3 linked regions of the Drosophila melanogaster genome follow. The protein of the gene in region 3 interacts with the protein of the main gene of each other region in a pairwise test. Each region holds a gene or a part of one and is shown on either strand. Other genes may lie near its edges.

Region 1 (8,950 bases), on a different chromosome or scaffold from region 3:
TCGATTTGCGGAGCTTAAGCGATGCCATTCAATGATGCCATTTCATTTGAAAATGGTAGTCGATTGCAAATTGGCAAATGGTCATTATCTTATTGCTATAGGTCAAACCATCTCTATTATTCATTCTAACCAATGCCCACGCAGCCAGCAGAAGTCAAGATTCTCGTTTTAATTGGCTCGATTCCAGTGCAGATTCGTTTGTTCTTAATCCGTTCTTTTTGATATCGAATGAAAGTGGAGCCGGTCTTGCTAAGCTTATATTTTAAACTCGAATGCCATTGAAATGGACTTAGGAAACGGTAGAGTGAGTTAGTGAAGATGTTCAATGAAATACCCAATTGGCTTATTGTGTGGTATGAGTGAATCGGAATACCTCAAGCTAATCAAGAATATTTACGGCCTCTCAGTTTTTTTTTTTTTTCAAATTTTATTTTCTTTCATTTATGTATATTCTCTTTTCGCTTACTATTTGAACGGAAATGGGCGATTTTTTGTTCTCCTCAATTTCCGACATATTTCAGATTGAAAAATATGTAAATTCGTGAAATTAATTAAATTTTGTAATGCGATTATCTACATATATCTTATGCCCAATTAAGAAGAAATAGAAAGAAGAAAAAACCTTAGCGAAATGACCATATTGAATATTTCCCCCAGTTAGTAGTAATAGGCATCCGGTGCGGATAAGATACATTCTGTTTGAAGAATCGGTATAAATTATAGTATAATAGATTTGTAAATTTAAATGACATAACTGTCTTTTAAATCCTACAAAGATAAAGAGTCGCTTAGTTTTGGATGCTTTCAGAAATATGTGTGTACATATATTACCAGGTACCGCCTAGTACTAGCGACCTGCCCATTGTGTCAAGTGGGCAATTTCTTCGTTCACAGCCAAGTTGCCTACGATCCGGAGCCGTGTTTAGTAGGAAGCCCAGCCAAGTTCGACCCACGGCACTTGGATGCAGCGGCCCACGCAGAAATCGAGCCATCATAGCAAAGGCATGACCAAAACAATCCGAAGCAAAGTCGCGTCAAGTACGCGTATATAAATAGCCCGATGCCCAGGCAAATATATGTATATATATGTATATGTATGTGTGTACGAATGACTCAGTCTGAGAAGCGATTTGGACTGAAATGATTTTAGCTAAAATCGAGCAGCACAATATACAAAGTCAACAAACAGCAAAACAAGCTTGTCAAACAGAGTTATGAGACAGAATGCTGGTGCATTGGGAAAAATAGTTTTCCAACTGACAGGCTGAACAAATATATATAACTAAATTAACTACTTCATCAATTTGATCTACTGCTTTCGTTACTCGAAATGTTTCTAGTTTAGCAAGTTGAACTTATGCAGACATAATGGTAAATTAGTTATAAAACTAATGAATTTGGTAAATTCCGATCTTTATTTTGTTAAAATTACAACAACTATTGGATGCTACTACCTGAGGAGAGATAATTTACTTTACAAATCTTTAATATCAAGCTATACTATAGTTTTTTCTCTGTGTAAGTGGAAGGGTTGTGGATGCGGGGTAGAGGGGAATTCGGGAAGGGAAGGTGAGCAGATCAGAGCAGAGCAGAGCAGCTGAGAGATGACGCCAACGTCGCTCAGCTGTTTCTCGGCCAAGTTAAGAGTTGCGGCCTTATAAATAGCCCAAGCTCGTCTAGAAGCCGACTCAGTTGAAAGCGAAGCGTGCCAAGTGGGAAATCGCAACCATTTATCAGTTGACACTTTTTGTTTTGTTTTTTATTTTACGTTCTTTATCTGCTGTAGTGCTAGTGTTTTCTAAGAACTGAACCCCGAAAATGGTGAGTTGCAGTGGGAATAACCAAAATCAATATGTATATATAAACGTGTGTTAAGGAATATATCCTTTTTTTTTTTTAAATCATCTAAACTGAAGCAATCTATCAACGATGGATAATTTATAAACAATTTTATAAAAGTAATAAAAATGGGTTCGATTTAAGGAAAGAATCTGAATCACGAATAAGTATATAGATTTAAACTTGCACATTTATTTGCTGTTTATTTTCTTCACCGCGAAAACTTAAGTGAAAAAATTACGCACAAAGGCAATACATAAAATATGCATTCAGTAAATGATACGTGAATGGAATATTGATGTACTTAAAGCAAACACGACAAAAAAAATATTCATTTCACAATGTAAGGACTTAACTTTGCTATTTGCTATTTACTTCCGGCTAGATGAATAGTGGTGAATGGATTTGCAAATACATCGAATGAACCAAGAAATATTCCCACATACTCGTAATGTTTCTGAAGCCCACGATCGGTTTATTCTTTTGAGTGTCTTCGATCTGCCTTTTATCTGCCCATTTTTTTGTTTTTTTTGGCGATGATCAATCACTCAACGCTTTTTAAGCTGCCCAAGTAAACATCAAGCCCATTATTCATTTGTTTGTGCACAAAGCCAAAAACACAAACCAATTAGTTTCTAGCACTTTAGCATAGCTTGTTATTTTAATTGCCATTACGAGAAGAGTAAAAAGTCCAATAGATTTGAATTGTTTACCTTTTTACCTACTTATGTTGAGCACTTAACATTTTCTTGCTCATTATTTAAATTTAGAAAGCATTAATTTAATCTAAACTCTGACAGGTTTTACGTTTTATTTAACTAATTCAAGATTGAACAGATTATATAGTTGACTATTTAGTTCTCGCCCTTCCAAAAGCAATTATTTAAATGTACATATGTATGTACATATATAATATAACAAATATGGCTCTGATTCACTTCACTTCCCTTGCGCAATGTAATCAGATTATAAATCACCCTGCAAGATGTGTGATTTAAGAAAAAAATCCAATTTCCTCCCTCGGTGGATCCATCCGTGCCATTTACGCGATGATCGACAACTTAGTTGATACGAACATGGACTACCATATTGGTCATTCAGAGTAATTCGAAAAGGCAGCCGACCCCCATTTGCATATTCTTATTGTATGCCGATATTTGAATAATTGTTTTTAGCCCGAATTGAGCTTCCAAAGAAGCGGACAACAAGTTTATCACCCATGTGTCATTCGCCAACAATGATCGCCACCTTGAGAGCGAAGCCATATCATCATCTCGATCGTCTCGTCTCGTCTCGTCTCATCTCCATGCCCAGTTAGCCCAAACATGGTGCCACCAGAATCCCACTGACCACTGAGAGTCCAAGTCCAAGCCAATGTTTGCTACCAAACAGCGGATCATCGAGTTAGTCATGTTTATTGGGCTTTTTCAGAACTCGAATGCGATTATGACACATAAACCGGCAAAGGGGGCGTGATACTCGCTTCTCGATTGAGATGTTTGTTCATATCGAATACTTTAGTGAATGAATCCCAATCCAGTTCAAACTCATTTCATTCGACTGGCTCTACGATTGACGCAGAATATGACATTTATCTTTGTATTACCGTTGTCTTTTATTTAGTTTCGTTACTAATGAGAACTAGTGAATGCACTCCATTTGGAGTTACTTCAAGTTAGTATTCAAATATATTCAAATATTATATTCATCTTAGATCGGTATCGTATTGAATTTAAATTCAAGTGATAGCAGCACTAATCGCAGCTGATCCTTCTCTTGCAGCAGCAGCTCCTGGTCGTGGCCCTGGTGGCGGTGGCCATCGCGTCCTTGCCCCAACTGGCCGCAGGTAAAAAGCTGGGGAAGCGCTGCGTGAACTGCACGTACCGCACTTACTACACCTACGGCGATGGGCGATCCCTGCAGCGGGTTGTCTATAGAGATCCGGTCTACACACGTGGTATTTACACAGCTTGCCTATCAGTATCCGTATTCGTAGTCTTACCGCACCAGCACGATGTACATAGGAGGAGAGCACCGCCGCCAGCACCCTGACCCCTGACCCTTGACCCTTGATCCTTGACCATTGACCCCGCGCCCCAAATGTGTCTGCAGTAGCTAACCCCTAACCCCTAACCCCTATATATATATAGTATAGTATATAGTATAGTATAGTATAGTATAGTATAGTATACATATGTATGTACATACCATACTCGTAGTAGCGTAGCATTAGAGATTAGATTGAGACACAAGTTCACCTGCGCACCAGTGCATCACCTCACCGCCTGTGCCTCTCTCCTCTCCTCTCGCCCACACAGCGCAGTCCTACGCGAGCGGATGCAGCGGTAGCCCGTGCGGCGTGAACGCCGTGTGCCAGGAGGCCTCCGGAGGACGGCCCGTCTGCTCGTGCCCGCCCGGATTCAGCGGTAATCCGCTCACCCACTGCAATCGCGGCGAGTGCCTGGACAACGTCGACTGTCGCGACAACCTGCAGTGCAAGGACAATCGCTGCGTTAATCCCTGCGTGGGTGCCTGTGGCATTGGCTCCAATTGTGACGTAAGTGGGACTTTTATGTCGCCAACACTCCTCCACGGCCAACTTCTGGCGCATTCCCTCGCATTCTGACCATCGGCACTCTACGCCACCTCCGCTTGCTCTTTCCAGGCCCGCAACCACGTGGCCGTGTGCAGCTGCCCCGCCGGCTACAATGGCGACCCATACCACGCCTGCCACCTCAACGATCCGGGTAAGTGCCTGACCACTCCACTACCGCCCACATGCCGCGGGGTAGGCGTGGCAGAGCTCAAAATCGATTAAAATGCCGGGTGTCATAAGAGTCGTTCGCTCAACTGGGAGCTGTTGAAATCAATCCGCTTCGATTGTGTATTTCGTTTCACGATTAAATAAATTAATTAATTGGGAAATCTGAGAAATGCACAATTTAAAGATATATGTACTAGTAGATGATCGAATCAATTAAAAGCTCTTAGTTCTTAACGCGCACATCTTAACATTGATTATGTACTAATAATATATGAATTACAATCATCAGCTGGTTAAAATTTTAATTAGCTAAAAGATGCAAGTGATCATACATGTATGTACATACATAGTGTGGATGTGAAAACCAAGCCGAGAAATAAGCCTTGACCACTTGAATTAAATCAAGGGCAAACAGGTTTCTTTACTGAGTTACATAACAATGAGATGAACCAAGAGGAGCGGAGTGTTTGCAGTGTTAAAATTATTGGCAATACACGAATGCACTTGAAAATTGGCATAATGCAATGCCTTGTCTAATAGAAAAATTTCAAACTAAATGAACACATAGATCGCGACATATTTGTAAACAATTTGTAAACAACTCATGTTGTTTATTATGTTTTATTTATTATTATTATTTTTTTTTTGCATTAATGCAAAGTGGACATACGACTGATTGTTCCGGAAATGCATAGATATAGACATGGATTGACATAGGTACATCGATTAATTAGCCCACTCGCGAATCCCTTCTCCACAATGAGGTGCTAGATAAGTGGCAAGATGACGTCGCAAATCCAAGTGGTATTGCCAAATTTGGTCAAATCTAGTGTATTGACAAAAACAGGGGGCTGGGCCTCTGGACAGCATGTGGGTTTACCTTGCTTGCATAACATTTTGCACTCGATGATAATGAGAATTATAATAATAATAATAATAATCCAAAGCCAACGGCCAACGCCCAACACTTGGGGCCTTTGTAATTTTATGGTAATTAGCATAGCATTTCGCTTCGCAATTGTCAAGATCAAGGACGCAGTGGGCGAGCTCTCAAGGCCAACGAGTGTCCGTAGTCGAGCCTAGTAGAGCTGGAATCCGACGGAACCGAAAGGTGGCCCCGGTTAGGCACCAGTCAACATCCGATTATGGTCATAAGCTGCGCAGGTCGGCCAGCTACCATTCAGGTAGCACAGGTCGGCCGAGTGGCTTGGGAATTTCGCTGGAAGAAGACAACTTGATCCACCCGGGGGCTACACTGCAAGAAACTGATTGAAAAATATCATCTTTAGAACGACAAACTGAAGCACACTGAACGTAATTTGATCGGCTTAAATATTTAAGCGTTCTAAATGGGAATAGTAACATTTCCAAACACTTCATATTCAGAACTTGCCATAAATAGTGGCTAAGCGCAGGTTCCGTCATTAGTTGAAATAATTCCTGCTGGGAATTTCTTAACTATAAATATTAAAATTAACACATAATTGAAAGCTTTTTTCTAAATTGTGACCGTGAAAGTTGAGCGGTGTAAATGTCACTAGGACCTGCTTGTTTATTACCAACATTCTGGCTTTTATACGAACGGACAAACGCACATGTTCAAAAGGCAAATTAACTAGAACTTCTAACCAGGAAATTATTTGATGGGTGGGGGGGGGGGGGGGGTCTTCTACCTCAACGAATCTATTATATTCCTTAACTTTTAACGCCAATATTGAGCTGCTAAATATTATCTTTGGCTTGAATTTCTTTAAAATAAAGTCAGTTGAAAACCAATTTCAATTGCTGTCCGTCCAAGAGTCGGCGTCAATAAATTGCATCTCTACGTTGGTTGCTCATTCGGGATTCGTGTCGAGTCCAAGGGCCTGGCATTTCTCGCCCCTTTTCCGATTTCTGCATCTTAACTGGTCCTCCGATATACATATATTCTTGATTTCACTTAAATCCCTTTCTGTGTTGCCTTTACTCCGGCCTCCGTTTGCGTGCAATTCCCATTGAAATACAATATTTATTTGCATTTCCAATTAGCAACTGACTTGGAAACAATAATTGCAAACGAACAGTCTGCGGGGAATGGAAGTAGCTCGGATTCCCTGCTCCATGATGTTCCCTGCTGCCGCCCCAAGGACACCGGATTCTTTTCCATTCATGTTCCTGGGGAGCCGAAGCAGTTGCGATTCCCTTTGGGCGTGTTGCAGACCAACTGAAAACATTCACGGACATTTGCCTTAAAGATTTCGTGCAGGAATACAAATGAATTGCTAACATTTAAAGGTCCACAATGCGTTTGCCACGCCGATAATAAAAAATAACTATTTGGTTAGCTATATATTTCGAAGAAAATCTACCAATACATCGATTTAATGTCGACGACGAGCATTTCCGACTTTCGTTGCAAGACATTTTGCAATCGATTTTCAAAACCGAACTCCACATTTCATTACAATACATTTTCCCGGCGCGGAAAAGTTGCTGCTTCTCGCAAATTATGTCAAAAGGAAATGTAAGAGAAAAGGCCTGATAATGGCGAAACTTTTGCCATCGGAACGGAAAACAACGCAAACTAATTTCTTGACTTGCTCACCGCACCACCACCATCATCATCATCATCATCATCACCATCATCATCATCATCATCTTGAACGACGAGTAACAACAATTGGTGCAAAAATAAAAGAAAATATGGGGTAAAAACCAAAAATATGCGCATAAATGAGCCCGGCTATTTGAATATGATTTTCTATTTGCCCACTTTGAGTGGCCGGCCCCCAATTATTGGCCCCATTGGAGGTATTTTCCCGATTTGACCGGAACACAAGTCACATGACCCGGCATAAATCAAAAATGGGGCAGCAACAGCGGATGTTGACAGGGGCCACAACCCCCAACGATGGTGAAAGGTGAAAGGTGAAAGGTCGGGTGGAAAACAACTTCCTTCGTCGGCCGATTGAACTTTTCATAGACTCAACTAAATCGACACTTGAACTTGGCAATATAGCACTTACTTACTGAAAAGTCTTGCTCAGATGGAAATGAATCCATCATCGCCATGCCGCATTCAAAATATACTGTTGCAGACAGCTTTGTGGGCGAGTCTACGACACTGCTGTGTGTCGTCCATTTCCAAACATTAATCTCTCATTCCATTCCGCAGAGGAGCAGTGCCATCCCAGTCCGTGCGGCGTTAACACCAAGTGCGAGATCATCAACGGCGTGCCCACCTGCTCATGCGTTCACGGCTATGTGGGCAATCCGCTGAGCGGCTGTCGCCACGAGTGCGATCACGATGGCGACTGCAGCAGCCGGGACATGTGCTCCAGCAACTTCAAGTGCGTGCCGGCATGCGGGCAGTGCGGCACTGGCGCCACCTGCCGAACGGTCAGCAATCACCGGGCTGTCTGCGAGTGCCCCAAGGGCTACATTGGCAGCCCGTACACGGAGTGCCGACCGGAGTGCTATGGCGATGCCGACTGCCCGGCCGGGCGACCCGCCTGCTTCTACGGCATCTGCAAGAACACCTGCGAGGGTGCCTGCGGCATCGGCGCCGACTGCAACCTGCGCGGCCTCACACCCGTCTGCAGCTGCCCCCGCGACATGACCGGCGATCCCTTCGTGCGCTGCCGTCCCTTCACCAAGGAGGACCTTTGCGACCCCAATCCGTGCGGCACCAACGCCATCTGCGTGCCCGGACACGACAACACCGGCCGCGAGCGGCCCGTCTGCAACTGCCTGCCCGGCCACACCGGCAATCCGCTGAGCCACTGCACCCGGGTGAGTCACTGTCCAAATCATAGGCAATCATACAGATTGGGCAACAACGGTGTTATCTACGATGATCCGGTGATCCCAATCATAGAGTTCTTCCTACTGTTTCTACTTTTTAATTATACCAAAAAAGAGTTGACAAACTAGTGACGAACGCTCTCTTAAGCGGAAACGGCAAATATGTCGAAATTTTGTCTGTATTTCGATTTTAAATAGAGTTCTTCTTCTTCTTCATTCTCCATTATAATGGGGCATAACTACTGTACTAACCCACTTACCCTCGTCCACAGGGTGAGTGCCTGAGCAACAACGAGTGCCCCGACCATCGCGCCTGCATCAACTACCAGTGCATCGATCCCTGCATCGGCAAGTGTGCCACTGGAGCCAGCTGCGAGCCCAAGGCCCACCTGGCTGTCTGCCGCTGTCCACAGGGACAGTCGGGCGACGCCCTGGTGTCCTGTCGCCAGACGCGCACCTTTCCCGTGGCCAAGTACCACTGAGGCGGGATGGGGAGTCGTATAGTCCCGGAGCCGCACTGCCTGCCAAACCAGTCACCATCCGCCCAGCCAATCCCCATCCCAA
Region 2 (4,660 bases), on a different chromosome or scaffold from region 3:
ATAAAGATATTATCAAATGGAAAAGATAGAGGCTCAAATTATCATTCGATATTTAAGTATAAGTAAAGTGTTTAGCAGGATCAAGATATGCTATTGTGCCAACATACCCTAACTCCCTTCGCGTAAGGGGATGCGAAAAGTTTATCCAAAAAGGAAGCTCCGAAGTTAACTGGCGCAAAGCTCCGTTGCTAGGCTGGCCGGCAATCGGATAGAACAGAAGGTTCAACGATCCATTACGATTATTAATTTTTGCATATAAATTTGCATTGTACAGAAGTATGTGTATATATGATTATATGGACACGTGATGTCAGTATGTGTGTGCGTGGTAAACAAAAAACCGATCATCAGCTGTTAGACGGCGCTTATCAGCTGGCAATACAGAAAAAAAGCAACGCGGAAAAGAGCCCACTGTCCAACTGTCCCACTTCCACCTAGAATTCCACTGTGCTGACCTTGACAACCTAATCTCCTCCACAGAAAACAGCTTCGTCTCGCTCGCACTGCCATTATGCAAGTGCGTGAGCATCTACTTTCCTTTTATCTTCCGCTCTCTCTTTCGCTCATCGTGAGTGACACGCGCAGAAACCGTGCAAGTAAAGCTCGCCGGCCTGCAGCTTTTGTCGCCGGAAAACGCACGAGAAAAGTTCTGAAAGTGAAAGTGCTTTTCCAGGCTTCAGTCAATATGTAATGAGTACTATGTGCCGTACTATTTAACCTTGAACTTGTGGATAAAGGACGTTAGCGCCGTTAACATTTTGAAGCTCGGGTCTGCAACAACAAATGCTTATCACTGAGACGCCGAAACAGCAACAAAATTTCAAATATAATTCAGACAATCCGGCACAGAGCAAATTTATGCAAAATTACTCATCATCGCTGAAAGCGTCGTCGTCACAGAGCAATTAAACAATTGCGATAGTGGAAGTTTACAGCGGTTCAAGATTATTATTGCTGCATTATTTCCGATGGCATGTTTAATAGGGTGTGATTGCGATGGTGTAGGTTATTTTACTTGTGGCGCGCTCCGCATGGAATGACTTCTATTTCACCTTTACACATTTCGCTAACGAGGTTCTTTTGAGATTGTATGGGTGTGCGAATTGAATTCGCAGCCGTGCTTGTGTGTATGTGTTTTGTGAGGCGGCAAACGCAATTCTACATAATGTGGAGAAATTGCTTGCATCATCAACAACAGCAAAAACAAATGTCTTGCCCCCGCCAATTTCGTTAGCAAAATTTCTAGCGTATTATAATGGAATGATGTTTAGCTTGAGGTCGTATCAAGAAGATCTGATAATTACCTGTTTTTGACAGTAAAGGTGAACTCGCGGAAAGATGTATTTGCTCTTCCTGTTTTGGAATTATTTTAATTCAATTTAAATGCACAGGCAGCGAACACTCCAATCAGAAACAGTGCGTCCGGCGATCTGTTCGAAAAAACAGTTGGCACCAATGAGCCTAAAAAAGCCACTCGTTTTTAAAATAAATACCATTTGGTATATACATACCAGATTCACGATATAACATTTGGGGTCTTCGGAAAGCTTTAAATTTTATTTAAAGCAATTTGTAATAAAGCCTAAAACATATGCTCCTTATTTATCCTCATTTATTCAGTTGCGTAAAGTATTATTTTTAATAGAACAAACTTATATTTTTAAAATTGGTTTGTGATTTTTGTTATTTTTTAGCTTCTTCTTAGCAGCGGTAGCCATTCGCCCGGAACCGTTTGTTTTTGTTTTGCTTTTCACGGTAAGCGTGTTGTTTTTCTCGATTTAATTGAATTTTAAATAACAAATTTTCGAGAATAGAAAAATGGCCACTGAGGTGTCGCAACTTTTGCTGGCGGTGGTCCAGGGCATCCCAGCCGGTGCCACCAACGATGACCTGACCAAGGCGCTGCCCGATGTGCCGGCGGCCACGCGGGTGGAAGCTTTGAATATACTGCTGCAGGAGGGCGGGATCGAGATCCTGAAGAAGGGTGAAAAGCTGGTGTACCGTGCCAAGGACCCGGAAAAGAAGAGTGCCCTGCCCAAGGATGCGGACAATGAGGAGAAGGTCGTCTACGGCATTGTTGAGGAGGGCGGCAACAAAGGCATCTGGATTAGGGATATACGTATGAAGTCCAACCTGAACATGATACAGCTCAACAAGATCCTCAAGAACCTAGAAACCAAGAAGCTCATCAAGGCGGTCAAGTCGGTGAACGTAGGTTCTATGATCCCATATTCCAAGTTCAATGTGATTCCAAATTTTCTTCGCGCAGGCCAGCAAAAAGAAAGTGTACATGCTGTACAACCTAGAGCCGGATCTCTCCATTACGGGAGGAGCCTGGTACCAGGATCAGGACTTTGAGGTGGAGTTTGTGGATGTGCTCAACCAGCAGTGCCTGCGCTTTCTGCAAATGAAACGCGACAGTGCGGAAAAGAAGCGCGAGGGGCCACTGGCCTTCAAGCAGATGTCTTGCTGCACGGTGAACGAGGTTCAGAAGTTCATCTCGGACTTGGGCATCAGCAAGGTTAATCTGGCGGAGGCCGATCTGGAAACAATTCTCAAAACAGTGGTGTACGACGGCAATGCGGAGCGAGTGCGCCAGCAGGATGGATCCTTCGTCTACCGGGCGGTGAACGCCCCACTTCCTCCGACTGGTCTGGTCCAGATGCCATGTGGCATTTGTCCCGTCATCAAAAACTGCTCCAATTGTGGCGATGTAACTGCTATAACTTGTGAATATATGCGAGATTGGTTGGATTAGGGATTAGCTCGAAAACTCTGGATTTTATTTTATATTAAGTATTACAAATTGAACTTATTGTTTATTAAGCTTTTTGTAGCACAAACATTATTAACTCTTAAATGTTATGGTTACCATAAAAAAAAGGAAAATTTGAAACCGATTTTTTAAATCGCAAACACATATCGTATTTCATCATTCATCGCTACGATATTCGCAGAATATGTCAGCTGGTTGCCAATCGCCCGGAACGCATGAACAGATACGTGGCTGTTGAATATGTGAATGAAAACTCGAAAATTCCGACAAAAGCTGCGAAACGAAATAAAATTTAATTTTATTGAGGCGTTATTATGCGATAGCTGTCCCAAGGCCGCCAAGTGCAATTCCTCCGCCGCCTTAGGAACCCCGAATTTAAGGAAATGGGTTTGTGCAAGTGCCCCAAGCGCCTGGTGACCAACCAGTTTTGCTTTGAGCATCGAGTCAATGTTTGCGAACACTGTATGGTTCAGTCTCATCCAAAGGTAAGGATTCCTGTCCTCTAGTTTTATGGATGCTTGGAATACACCATATCCACTCTTTTTCAGTGCATTGTGCAGTCGTATCTGCAGTGGCTGCGGGACAGCGACTACATCTCCAACTGCACTCTGTGCGGCACCACATTGGAGCAGGGCGATTGCGTGCGCCTCGTCTGCTACCGTAGGGATCTGCCAGTTTTGAGCTAATCCAGACACCACACACTTACCCATAATCCTGCCATTTCCAGATGTTTTCCACTGGGACTGCCTGAACGCCCGCCAAGCCGCACTGCCTGCCAACACAGCCCCTCGGGGTCACCAGTGCCCCGCCTGCAGTGTGGAGATCTTTCCCAACGCCAACCTGGTCTCCCCGGTGGCCGATGCTCTGAAGAGTTTCCTGTCGCAGGTTAACTGGGGCAGAAATGGCCTGGGACTCGCCCTGGTAAGCATTCCGGGCAGTAAGCTTGTAATCAATTTAAATGTTGAATCTTTCCCAGCTCTCTGAGGAGCAGAGCAGCAGTCTGAAGGCCATTAAGCCCAAGGTGGCAAGCCAGGCGGCTGTCAGCAACATGACCAAAGTGCACCACATCCATTCCGGTGGCGAGCGAGAGCGCACGAAGCCCAATGGCCATGACGCCGTGAGCCCACATTCCGTGCTCCTAATGGATGCATTTAATCCCCCAAGTGCGGGCGACTACGGTGCGCATAATCTAGCATACACTTTGAGTCATATTATAATTATAATCTTACGCACCTGCAGCCAGCAGCAGAAGACCGCTGCTGCCCCGTCAGTCGCCAATTGGTGGGACAGATCGAGACGATAATAAGTACCAGCGCCGCACTCCTGCGGAATTGTTCTCGCGATGGACACGCCGCTTCTATGCGCCCTCCTCGCGGCCGCCGTGGCGTCGCACTTGGTTCCTGGTGACCGCCGGCATTTTGGCCTTTGTCTTGTTCGTCTATCTTATGGCCTGGCTGGGTCGCGGAGGATCTGATGCCGTGGACGAGGGCTGGAATAACCCCAATCCACAGCCGAACCACTACGAATAGGGTGTGCATTCACGGTCGAAATAAGCATACGTAGCATATAATCGATATCCAAGTCCCCGATTCCGAAAGAATAAAACTTTTACAGCTATTTATATAACCTAACATTGCAAAGCGAAATAATACAACGACAAAGAACGATTTTTACTCGCAGATCATCTATCTAGTCAACATGGGGTTTCAATGTCTGGACTTGACTTCCCTCGGCGGGCGGGGTGCGCTTAGCCGGCGTCGATGGCTGCGGCTTACGTTTGGGCGCGTCCAAGACCTCATCGTACTCGTGCAGCTTCTTGGCCAGGAAGTACATCTCAGCCAGGGCTATGATGAGCGCTACAATCACGCCCAGCAAGATGCGAAA
Region 3 (10,246 bases):
CCGATTCGTATCGTTTAAACATTTTAAATTGATTAAAATGCGATAAATCATAATCGCCAACGTTGGCCCGAACGCAGACACTCTGGAACTTGGTAACTTGGGAACTCGGGGAACTAGGGAACTGGATGAGTGGGGGACTTGGGGACCTCCTCGGGACCATGTCCGGGTGATGGAACGATTTATGCGCCTCGAACATAATAAAGTGTTAACGGAACGAGTTATTAAGGTAGTCTCAATCCTATGGCCTAAGTTAATAAAGGCCAAAGGCAATTTGCATGGCCAGTGTGTGACGGCGTGGCAGCGTCTTAGGTTGCATCTAGGCGTACATAGCTCTGAGCAGGGGACTCAATCTCGGTCTATGCTATGCTCACCCACCGATCGACGGACACACAAGATGTCGGGAAATATAACATAAGCCGACCACACGTACGTCTCCCATGCCGCACAGCTGGACGCCGTGCCCAGATCTCAAAACTCAGAGCGAAGCTCAGTTCGCTGGATTGCGGAGGAAAAGCTGGAACGCCGTGTCTTGTGAGCAGAACAATCAATAAATTTGAACACGTGAGCGGACGCGAATGCGGACGGCTCTCGACGGTAACAACACTGATCCTATAGTCCCCAGTTCCCAGTCCCCCACTACCCCTCCACAAAACAACAGCAAAAGCAACAATTCAGAGCGATAAGTGATCAATGCGCCGTGTCGACTGATTGGGCAGCATCGGTGATCCAATGAGGTGGGGCAGTCGTAGGATTTGACTTGGAGAGCCACCAATTTGTGCTTATCGTCGATGGCGCAGAGAAAGTGATTTAAGCTGACCGTTCCTTCAATTAAAATTTAATTGTCCACTAAAGAAGTTACTTTATTGCTCCAAAAGCTAACCACGATTTCAAGTTGAAAGTGAATCAGTAGCAATCCTCGAAGTTGTACCACGGTGTGGCATCCACATCGTCCGTAATGATGGGTTCCCGGCGCGCTGTCGATGGGCCATAGAGGTTGTAGCGTCTGGAGCCAGCGACGATCTCGCGATACCGCCTCACCGGCGCCCTGGACATGTGCAGCTCCATCAGATCCCAGTCGTTGACGTCGCGGAAAACGGAGCGAATCATGTGCATGCGGCCCAGTAGCTCCGTCTCCCGCAATCCCTCGTACCTTCGGCCAGTGCGGGCCCGGAATGTCTTATAGACCTCACTCTGCTGCTTGGTCTCCGTCGCCGTTTGCAGCTCCTTCCTGTAAAGCGCTCGTATGCCGCGGCCCAGGTGGCGGATGTGCTCGAAGTTGCGAACGTTGAGCGCAACCAGAGCAACTGCGTCCAGATTCAGCAGCTTGTGTCCATCAATGTAGTTCTCCCGAAAAGTTTGCTGTAACGAAGCTATAGGTTACCCAACATAGTGAGTAAGAATCTTAGCCCACCTCGTACTCGGGATAACCAAAGTTGCGCAGCCAGTCGGTCACATCGTTGATGCTCCACTTGAAGACCTCAGTGCGGGCTTGGGAATCCACGACGGCGGCGCAGAGATTGAAGAGCGAGTCCGGCGAGGCCTTGAAGGGTAGCGGCACATCCTCCTTGTCGTACTCCACGTCCGGAAACATGTAGCTGGGATAGCGAAAGCAGAACTCCTGCTCATCCTGCGGCGGCTCACAGATATCCGGACTGTCCATGCCACTGGCACTGTGCGGCAGTGGTGACGGTATGGTGGAGCACCTGGACGCTGAGAACGACTCCATTCGAGTGGTGGCAGCGCACTGTTCCTGGGCCAAAGTGAATTGAGTTGCCCCGCAACGATTTGGTTGCGGTTTCCAGCGATTCCTCAAGAATAAGTGGCGTTCGTGTCTGTTTACATAGTTTGATTGCGTTTCGCTTTCATTTGTTGTATGCCCTATAATTTTCCGGGAAAAGTTGTTGGCTACAATCACTAAGGCTCAATTTGCACTTTAAATGGGTTAATGGAATTTAAGCCATGCTCTTTCCAATCAGTATCTTTGAACGTTCGGCATATCCTGGAATGTATCTGAATCTTTTTTTTTAAGTAAAAAGGATTATTTTATTATTAATCGGACTTCACTTTGAAGAGGATAAAAGTGTCACCGACTGGCGATGGATTTTCCGCTGCCATTGCATTTGCATATTCCACATTTTCTGGGTCACTTTGTGGGCTTGTGGTGCTAGGGTGTTTTTGGCACCAAATCCGCCCGCTTGGATGGGAGTTTTGTGCCGGAAAGTATGCTATCTTAAGGTAGTCACGACAATTTTCCTATTAATAACGCCAGTTTCGCTCCGCAATTTACACATTTCTACTTAAGTTTTCCAACCCCGACGATCCGTTCGTGTTCCGTTTTGCGGATTTCCGCTTGTGGAATGCGGTTTCTGATTTATGACCACCAGTCCCGGTTACCCACTTCATTGAACCCAGACAGCGTGGAGCAGGTGGAGTTCGCGCAGATCGCTCAATCCCAAGCCAATGGAAGGCACATTCCTTGGGCGCGAAAGCGAGATGCCGCATCAGCGCCACCAGTGGCTCCGCCCACCACTGCGGATCGATCGCATTGGCCAGAAATCACGAACCACGAGCCACTCGACATGGCCTCTGCGCAGGGAAACCGGAATTCGGATGGGGTGTGTGTGTCTGTGTGTGGGAGTACGGGAACATATGGAGAAATCGGTAAACAAATCTCGGCTGCGCTCGAGGAAACGATCTCCGACTGAGCTAATGACACAGCGGCATGCTTGTGTGTAAACAAGCGATCGGCATGGCAAGGTATCCCATCTGTGTGTGGCTACAGTGGGATCAGGTCTATGGTAAGTGGATTAACATAATTTTAGGGCACTTTCTAGAGGTATATAGATCTTCAGCGGAATAGAAACCAATGTTACCACCAACCGAAGCCCAAAAATCTAATCTTTCTTGATAGTATTACTCTTCTTGAGTATTACTTTATAAACAATATACACGTTGGATAAAAAAATATCCTGGTTTGTATATCCTGTATATCGAACATATAGCCATTATTTATTGTTAGCATTATATCCTGATCATCTCGCACTCCTTGCCCCACTGTCAGCACCAGGAATACACAATCTCAGCGAGATTAACCCCACCGCCAACAGACTGTTCCGCGTTGGCTGGCCGATCGGCAATCGATGGCTGGTTGAGCGTGCTCCCTGGCCGGTTCCGATCAGTTCTGAGTGGGATGTCTTGCAAGGCGGTTTAATCGGAGGTGCACGAGACCTAAGCCAAAATTCGCGATCGTTTTATTGGTGCACAGCGACGGTGTTTTGGACATGATAGATAGTCCCTATCGATTGTGAACGTGTGAAATCAGTTTTGAGTGTCCTGTGTCGAGATTCGTAGATAGAAACCATATACAACACATATCCGGACAATGTTACTACACGAGAGTGCCGCCAGCATGGAACAGAGTATGCCCGAGAACCTCAGCACTCACATGTACGGCGAGTGTGAAGTGAATCCAACGCTGGCAAAGTGTCCCGATCCAGTGAATGTCGATCATGAGCTGCCCACCAAAGAATCCTGTGCCTCGACTACCATAGTCAGTACGTCGCCAACCAGCGCCACGAGCACCACCAAAGTCAAGCTGAGCTTCAGTGTGGATCGTCTGTTGGGCTCGGAACCCGAGGAATCCCACCGGCAGAGCTCCTCCTCGCCCTCGACCAAGTCATGCTGCGATGGCAGCATTCTAGCCTGCTGCTCCTTCCCCCACTGCTTCAGCCAGGCGAATGCCGAATCCCGTAGGTTTGGACATGCCACGCTTCCGCCCACTTTCACACCCACTTCATCGCACACGTACCCCTTCGTGGGTCTGGATAAGCTGTTCCCTGGCCCCTATATGGATTACAAATCAGTGCTCAGACCGACGCCAATTCGGGCAGCAGAACACGGTAAGGATGCACTATACTCAAAAGGGAACATCCTTTGAATCCGAGCAGGTTTTACAAAAAAAATGTCCATTTGAAAGTAAATCATTCAAAATTACCATTAAGTGCACGGCATTTGGAACATCATGAGCAAACCGAGTTGATAGAAGGAAAACATTTAATCTCTGTAAGGGATGCCTTAAATTAATATGAACTATATTGGTACTGATCCGTATTACATGGATTATAGGTACCTAAGTGTATTTTTAAGATACTTTTAAACTTAAAAGGAATCAGCTCCATACAGAAAGCTATTGAAACATCATTCGTTCGCAGTGAACCTCTTCTAGTTCCAACAACGTACCACTTATCAAAATAATATTTTATACCCATGACTCTATCTTGTAGATACGATCTATCATCTGCACTATTTCAATCTCCCCGTATGTTGTGTGCACTTGCAGCGCCAATAAAACTGATCAAAGCTAATCAGATATTGCGATTTGTCAATCATTCTGCATTCTTTCCATGGAAATATGCAGGATCTCAGGGAACGATCAAACGAGTTGATGAGGTGGCTTCGCCATTTGCCCATCAAAATTCCTTAGCTATTTCGCTCTGTTTTTCAATTATGGACTATAATTATTAGCCATGTTGAGATTTGCAGAGAAAATCGTGAAATGGAATTTAGCCAAATGGGAAATGAACATTCCTGGAAACACAAAGAGTGAGAACCTAAGGCGCAGCCCCAATAAATTTCACGTTTTTATTTGAATTATTAGTTGATCTGCAGCCATATTGTGCAATATTCCTGCGGCCAAATGTTCCGCGCCTTTGGCTCTTGACGAAAACAATTCGATTTTTGAAATCGACAACAAAATAGTCCGGATTGTTTTGGGTATTTGCCGTACTTCCTGCTGTTTTTGTATATCTGGGGACGAAGACTTCTTATAAAGCCTGCAGGCTGCCAGCGCACTTTGATCTTGTTTATGTGAAAATGGAAATGGAAATGGAAATAGTGAGAGCAACATAATCGGTAAATGTTTCGCTTTTCGAATAGAAATTGTTCATTGTTTAACAAGCTGCTTGAGTTTTATACATATCGTCAGCACAGCCTTTTCCCATTCAATATTGTACACAATTCTTATCAAGTGGGTGCTAACAATGCGAGGGCCTTAAACGATCTTAAAGATCTTTTGCGGATAAATGAGATACATATTTGGTTTGGGATTCCTCAATGGATAAATTGATTAGGAAATGTCTGAGATATTAATTTATTTCAAAATAAGAGACCCGCAAATATGTGGAGCTATACTAAAATGATGTGTAAATGGTATTAGCGAGCTTAACTTAAAGCTTACTATAGTTTAGACCTAGTTACAAGTAGCAAAATACAATTTTTTAACAGCCGACTAAAACATATTCAAAAAAGACTTTGGTTGATTCATCCAACGTAAATTCGATACTAATAGCCCTTTAAATTCCGCCAAATTCCAGCACACGATTAAATTATGTAGCAAAATTAGCGCCAAACTTAAATAAATTACACTTCACACAATGATGGAACATTAATGAAAATTATCATCAGTGCTAAGTGGTTTTCAAACACATTTGCTCAGCCAAAAATGGGAGGAGCAATTAGTAAGGCGAATAAATTCGACATAGCTCAATCAACAAAAGATCGGTAAAAAAAAAACGAAGAACAGACAGCACCTGAAAGGCTTCATCAATCCTTTGGGCACCGCAAATAGATGAGATGCCAAAGACCAAAGTGGAAAATTAAGAACAATTTATGAACAAATTACGAGTCAGTCTTTAAAAATAAACTTCAAGCTCACACGGATCGTGGAAAACGTTTGTGGCGAACAGTTTGTTTATTTGCTTGGGCAATTGGCCCGTCATTCATGGGCAGATACAGATAGCTATCCATCTAATTGCCCGCTCTCTAATGAATTGTTCCGCCGGCCGAGGAGTTCGACAGGTGGAGGCATCTTTGGCCCGGCTAGAGACGCGGATCTCTGATAGATTGGGCGCCACGGTTCCAACTACTGCGGCTCAACCGACTCCAATGAGGCTCGGCTGCCGTTTAGGCCAACGACAGGGAACTGCTGACCGATGGATGACTGTACCGGGTATGGGTACGGGCACGGGCACGGGTGAAACTATGCGCTGTTCTTTGGGGGCCGAGCCAAAAGGCCAAGTATTTACACAACCACCCACTGTGGTGGCCTTTTCAGGAGGAGGCTACCCTGTGGCTGCCCGCCGTGTCCAACCTGCCGGCCCCTGCGGAATTATTCCGTGATGGATTGATTGCATCGCATCGCACATCATAAAATCATGGACCAGCGAGATCTCTGCGGCTCCTCCGTCGACTATTTGTTGCTGTTTGCCTGTCCCGCCTGGCGATGAGTAGTTTGTTGATCTGTTGTTGTTGCTCTTCTGGCTGCCGATCAATCGATCCATCCATCGATCGATTGGATGCTACAGACCATTGTCTGATATGGAAATTCTGTCTGAACAATAATCCGGCGCCGTGGGTCTAATTAATTAGCAATTTATATGTTAATCCAACTGATAGATGCACTTTCAAAGCGTTCGAAGATCCCTGATTAATGATGGCCCTCAGACGATTTCTTTTGGAACTTTGAAGACTCTTTCTCAAGTTCCCAACAGCAGGGGAGGGTTGTAGCAATAATAATTACCACGCACTCAACTCAAATTAACGGGACTGATATATGTATGTAGATACCACAACTATAGGATTAACTATAATGAATTGAGTGAAAATTGACGACAATCCCAAGTAGCTAAAGATATTTCACGAAATATACAATTGAAATATTAGCTATACTTTTGATTTCACTTAAATATTTTGAAAGTACATAATGCAGATAATATATCTTAGTGCATAGTTAGCTGGTAAAAGTCAGAGATTCGGATGTTCGGAAGTAGATACATATGTATAATATATTAAAATCAATCAAATAAACACATACTCCGCTTGTCGAGCTGGTAGTCGAAATTTCCATAGCACATGGCCCACTGGGAGTGCTCTGCTTAACCCCAAAAGATCATTCGCAATTTACCGCGAAATAAGCCACAATATTCGCCAAGTCGTAAATGTGGAATGCATCGTGCTAATAAATCGATGCAACTTAAATATGGCTGCGAAATGTACGATTCGCAAACACATCCTACTGGAGATGCATCTGCAACCCAGACCCTTGAGTGATTTAAGATGGCATCCGAAAAATTATCACAACTCATTAAGATATTTACGGGTCCGCTGGCGGTATTTTGTAAATGTATCTGAACGGGAAAGTCGGCAATTAATGATCTCGCGCTGTGAGTGAACCCCAATGCCCCGGCCAACATCCAAGGTGTTGAAAGTCGGTGAAAACTCATTATAACAAACCCCCGATGGTTGACACAAGCCAAATGCCAAAACGGCCAATTAAGGCGTTATTAGCCCCTGCAGATGTGCTGAGATTCCATTGGCGTTCCCGATGCAGATACACAAGCGCACGGATTGAGATACAATTGTATCCACAAGTGCAGAAGCGCATTTCCGCTGCAGTGTAAATACACACAATCGATCGAGTAGTGTGTTGCTTAAGTAAATAAAACGCTCGATCTCGAAAACAATTAGGCGCATGCCGCGAGCACACAAACAAATCGAATTCCACATAGCACAACGTTAAAAAGGCAATAAAAAATACCTATGATAATTTAGCGTTGGCTACAAACAAAGAGGAATGGTTTGCAGTTTGAAATCAAATAAAATTCAATGAAAAAGTCAAGGATAGGAATTAAAATTGTGGCCTTTTAACAACATCAGGATTACATTTCATATCAACATTAGTGAACATTATCGTGAACTGAGGATTCAAAGGAACTTTTTGTAGCATACTTTTCAGCGGAGTCCTTTGAGTTGATAAATGCCGTAATGATCTTGATTGAAACTCAGTAGTTAGATAAAGGATAGTAAATGCCAATAATGATTGGAAATACAATAGGAAAGTCAACGTCATTCGAATTGTTTCTTACTGCGTGTATAAATTCTTGGATATTTAAAAAACATTTAAGGGAAGTAAAGCACCCTGGTTCGACCTCAACCTCGTGTGCCCCATGTCGTGTTCGATTACCCCAAATAATTTTGGATCTCTAGAGGTAATTGTTGTTGTTTAGATTCGCGCTAGAAGTAAACAAATTTCGTTTGCCCCCCCTAGCCACAAAACGCTTCAATGATAATTTCCAATTAAGTGAAAATTTTATTATAAACAAGCCCATTTAAAAATTCTCAACATGCATTTTATTGATCAAAATAATTTACTCAGAAAACACAAAAAATTGAATTTCATATTTTCTTTGGCGAAACAAGTATCATTTCTTTGGCCGGCGATAAATGTATTATTTCCTGCGGATGCAATGTGCTACCAAGGGAGGATGTTGTCCATAACTAATGGTAGTTTTCCTATAAAAATAAATATCCAAATTGGTGCGTAAAAAACGCACCGGATTCAGTATAGCAACAAATTAAGAGTTATTGCTAATGAAGGAAGTATGAATCTCCCAATTGACTTTAACATTCCATTCCCGAACAGCCGCACCCACTTATCCCACGCTGGCTACCAATGCGCTCCTCCGCTTCCATCAACATCAGAAGCAGCAGCACCAGCAGCATCATCATCATCAGCACCATCCCAAACACCTCCATCAGCAGCACAAGCCCCCGCCACACAACTCGACGACAGCCTCGGCGCTACTGGCGCCGCTCCACAGCCTCACGAGCCTCCAGCTGACGCAACAGCAGCAGCGATTTCTGGGCAAGACGCCGCAGCAGCTCCTGGACATAGCGCCCACCTCGCCCGCCGCCGCCGCCGCTGCCACATCCCAGAACGGTGCACATGGACATGGAGGTGGCAATGGCCAGGGCAACGCCTCAGCCGGAAGCAATGGGAAGCGCAAGCGATCCTGGTCTCGCGCCGTCTTCTCGAATCTGCAGCGCAAGGGCCTGGAGATTCAGTTCCAGCAGCAGAAGTACATCACCAAGCCAGATCGCCGCAAGCTGGCGGCACGACTGAATCTCACCGACGCTCAGGTTAGTTAAAAGATGGGATTTTCATAGTTTAACATTTGCACATTCGACTCCTTTCATAGCTCTATAAAAACCAATATATTATTATTTTTATACCCTGATTAGGTCAAGGTGTGGTTCCAGAACCGTCGCATGAAGTGGCGGCACACGCGCGAGAATCTGAAGAGTGGCCAGGAGAAGCAGCCGAGTGCAGTACCCGAATCCGGAGGTGTCTTCAAGACATCCACGCCATCCGGTGATGGTACGCCCCAGGAGGCACTCGACTACAGTTCCGATAGCTGCTCCAGTGTGGATTTGAGCGAGCAGGCCGACGAAGATGATAATATTGAAATCAATGTGGTGGAGTAGAGCCGCCTATGTAGATAGCTCCGTTTACACGTGTAAAATGCCATGTAGATGTATTTATTCCTTCATTGCTAGTTGTAATGTAATGTAAAGTAGACAGATACTGCACAAAGTGAACTTAAATTATTTCAATCTGTAAGATAATCTAAACGTTTATGTGTAAACTATTTAAAATAAATTCTCTAGTAAAATGAACTTGTGAATTCACAGCTTGGTTTATTATTAATTTATTATTCACTATTCCATAGAATGAAGCTATAAAAATACGCAATGCTACGCGGCAAGAACAGAAATTTTAATTAAGCAAATACCGCTGCGATCAGCAGAATATGAAACTCGGCGACAACGGGGAGACCTTCTCTAATCAAGTGAACGATAAAAGACGATACGCGACTGAATGGCCAGAGCAAATACGACTGGAGTGAGTTGGTCAAGCGCGGGGGTGCGAATGGGTTTATCCAATACGATCGGATCGGTTGGTGGATCGCGACAGGGGAGTGAGAGGAGGGGGCACTGCGGATATAGAGCACTAATTAGAAAAACAGTGAGGGTAAATTGTTGGTGCACGACATTGAAATCTTACTCACTTGGGCTTTATTGTCATTGTCGGTCTCTTTGGCTGAGTTCGTTCATTTTTTCAATTACTTTAAGACTCCGCTGAAATTATAGAAAACTATAAAAAAATAACAACGATTTATAGCTGAATTTAAAGAACATTACTAAATAGAGAATAGAATAGAAACAATAAATATATATTACTCATACTTTAGCTGCAATCTTACGTTCATATATGATTTATAATTATATGCGTAATTCCTTTAGGGTATTTAACAGTCGGTGAATGACATATGCAATTTCAGCTCAGTTGAAGAAGTCTGTTTGGGCAACATTTGCTCACGTTCAGTTGTTTTTCCCAAAGCGAAGTGCG

Evidence for each region. Proteins that work in one complex are often made in the same cells at the same time.
Region 1: the proteins of H2.0 (region 3) and aspr interact in a two-hybrid assay, tested with the Drosophila melanogaster proteins (one large-scale study listed by BioGRID).
Region 2: the proteins of H2.0 (region 3) and Polr3F interact in a two-hybrid assay, tested with the Drosophila melanogaster proteins (one large-scale study listed by BioGRID).

The regions. Positions count from the first base shown.
Region 1 is NC_004354.4:20,146,441-20,155,390, forward strand, and holds the start of aspr (asperous), read left to right. Parts: upstream 1-1,683; 5' UTR 1,684-1,818; coding exon 1,819-1,821; intron 1,822-3,621; coding exon 3,622-3,796; intron 3,797-4,157; coding exon 4,158-4,396; intron 4,397-4,504; coding exon 4,505-4,586; intron 4,587-7,757; coding exon 7,758-8,374; intron 8,375-8,658; coding exon 8,659-8,868; 3' UTR 8,869-8,950.
Region 2 is NT_033777.3:22,364,313-22,368,972, reverse strand, and holds Polr3F (RNA polymerase III subunit F), read left to right. Parts: upstream 1-1,599; 5' UTR 1,600-1,619; intron 1,620-1,694; 5' UTR 1,695-1,755; intron 1,756-1,813; exon of another isoform or gene 1,814-1,814; 5' UTR 1,815-1,818; coding exon 1,819-2,211; intron 2,212-2,269; coding exon 2,270-2,758; 3' UTR 2,759-2,893; downstream 2,894-4,660. Other genes in the region: CG5382 (uncharacterized protein), read left to right, coding at 3,160-3,261, 3,325-3,436, 3,504-3,697, 3,753-3,954, 4,016-4,305; CG7071 (uncharacterized protein), read right to left, coding at 4,466-4,660. UniProt on the Drosophila melanogaster protein: DNA-dependent RNA polymerase catalyzes the transcription of DNA into RNA using the four ribonucleoside triphosphates as substrates. Specific peripheric component of RNA polymerase III which synthesizes small RNAs, such as 5S rRNA and tRNAs.
Region 3 is NT_033779.5:6,012,330-6,022,575, reverse strand, and holds H2.0 (homeodomain protein 2.0), read left to right. Parts: upstream 1-3,173; 5' UTR 3,174-3,382; coding exon 3,383-3,899; intron 3,900-8,479; coding exon 8,480-8,976; intron 8,977-9,078; coding exon 9,079-9,321; 3' UTR 9,322-9,517; downstream 9,518-10,246. Other genes in the region: CG13996 (uncharacterized protein), read right to left, coding at 904-1,359, 1,412-1,726. UniProt on the Drosophila melanogaster protein: May play a role in pattern formation during embryonic and imaginal development. Is not essential for visceral muscle morphogenesis.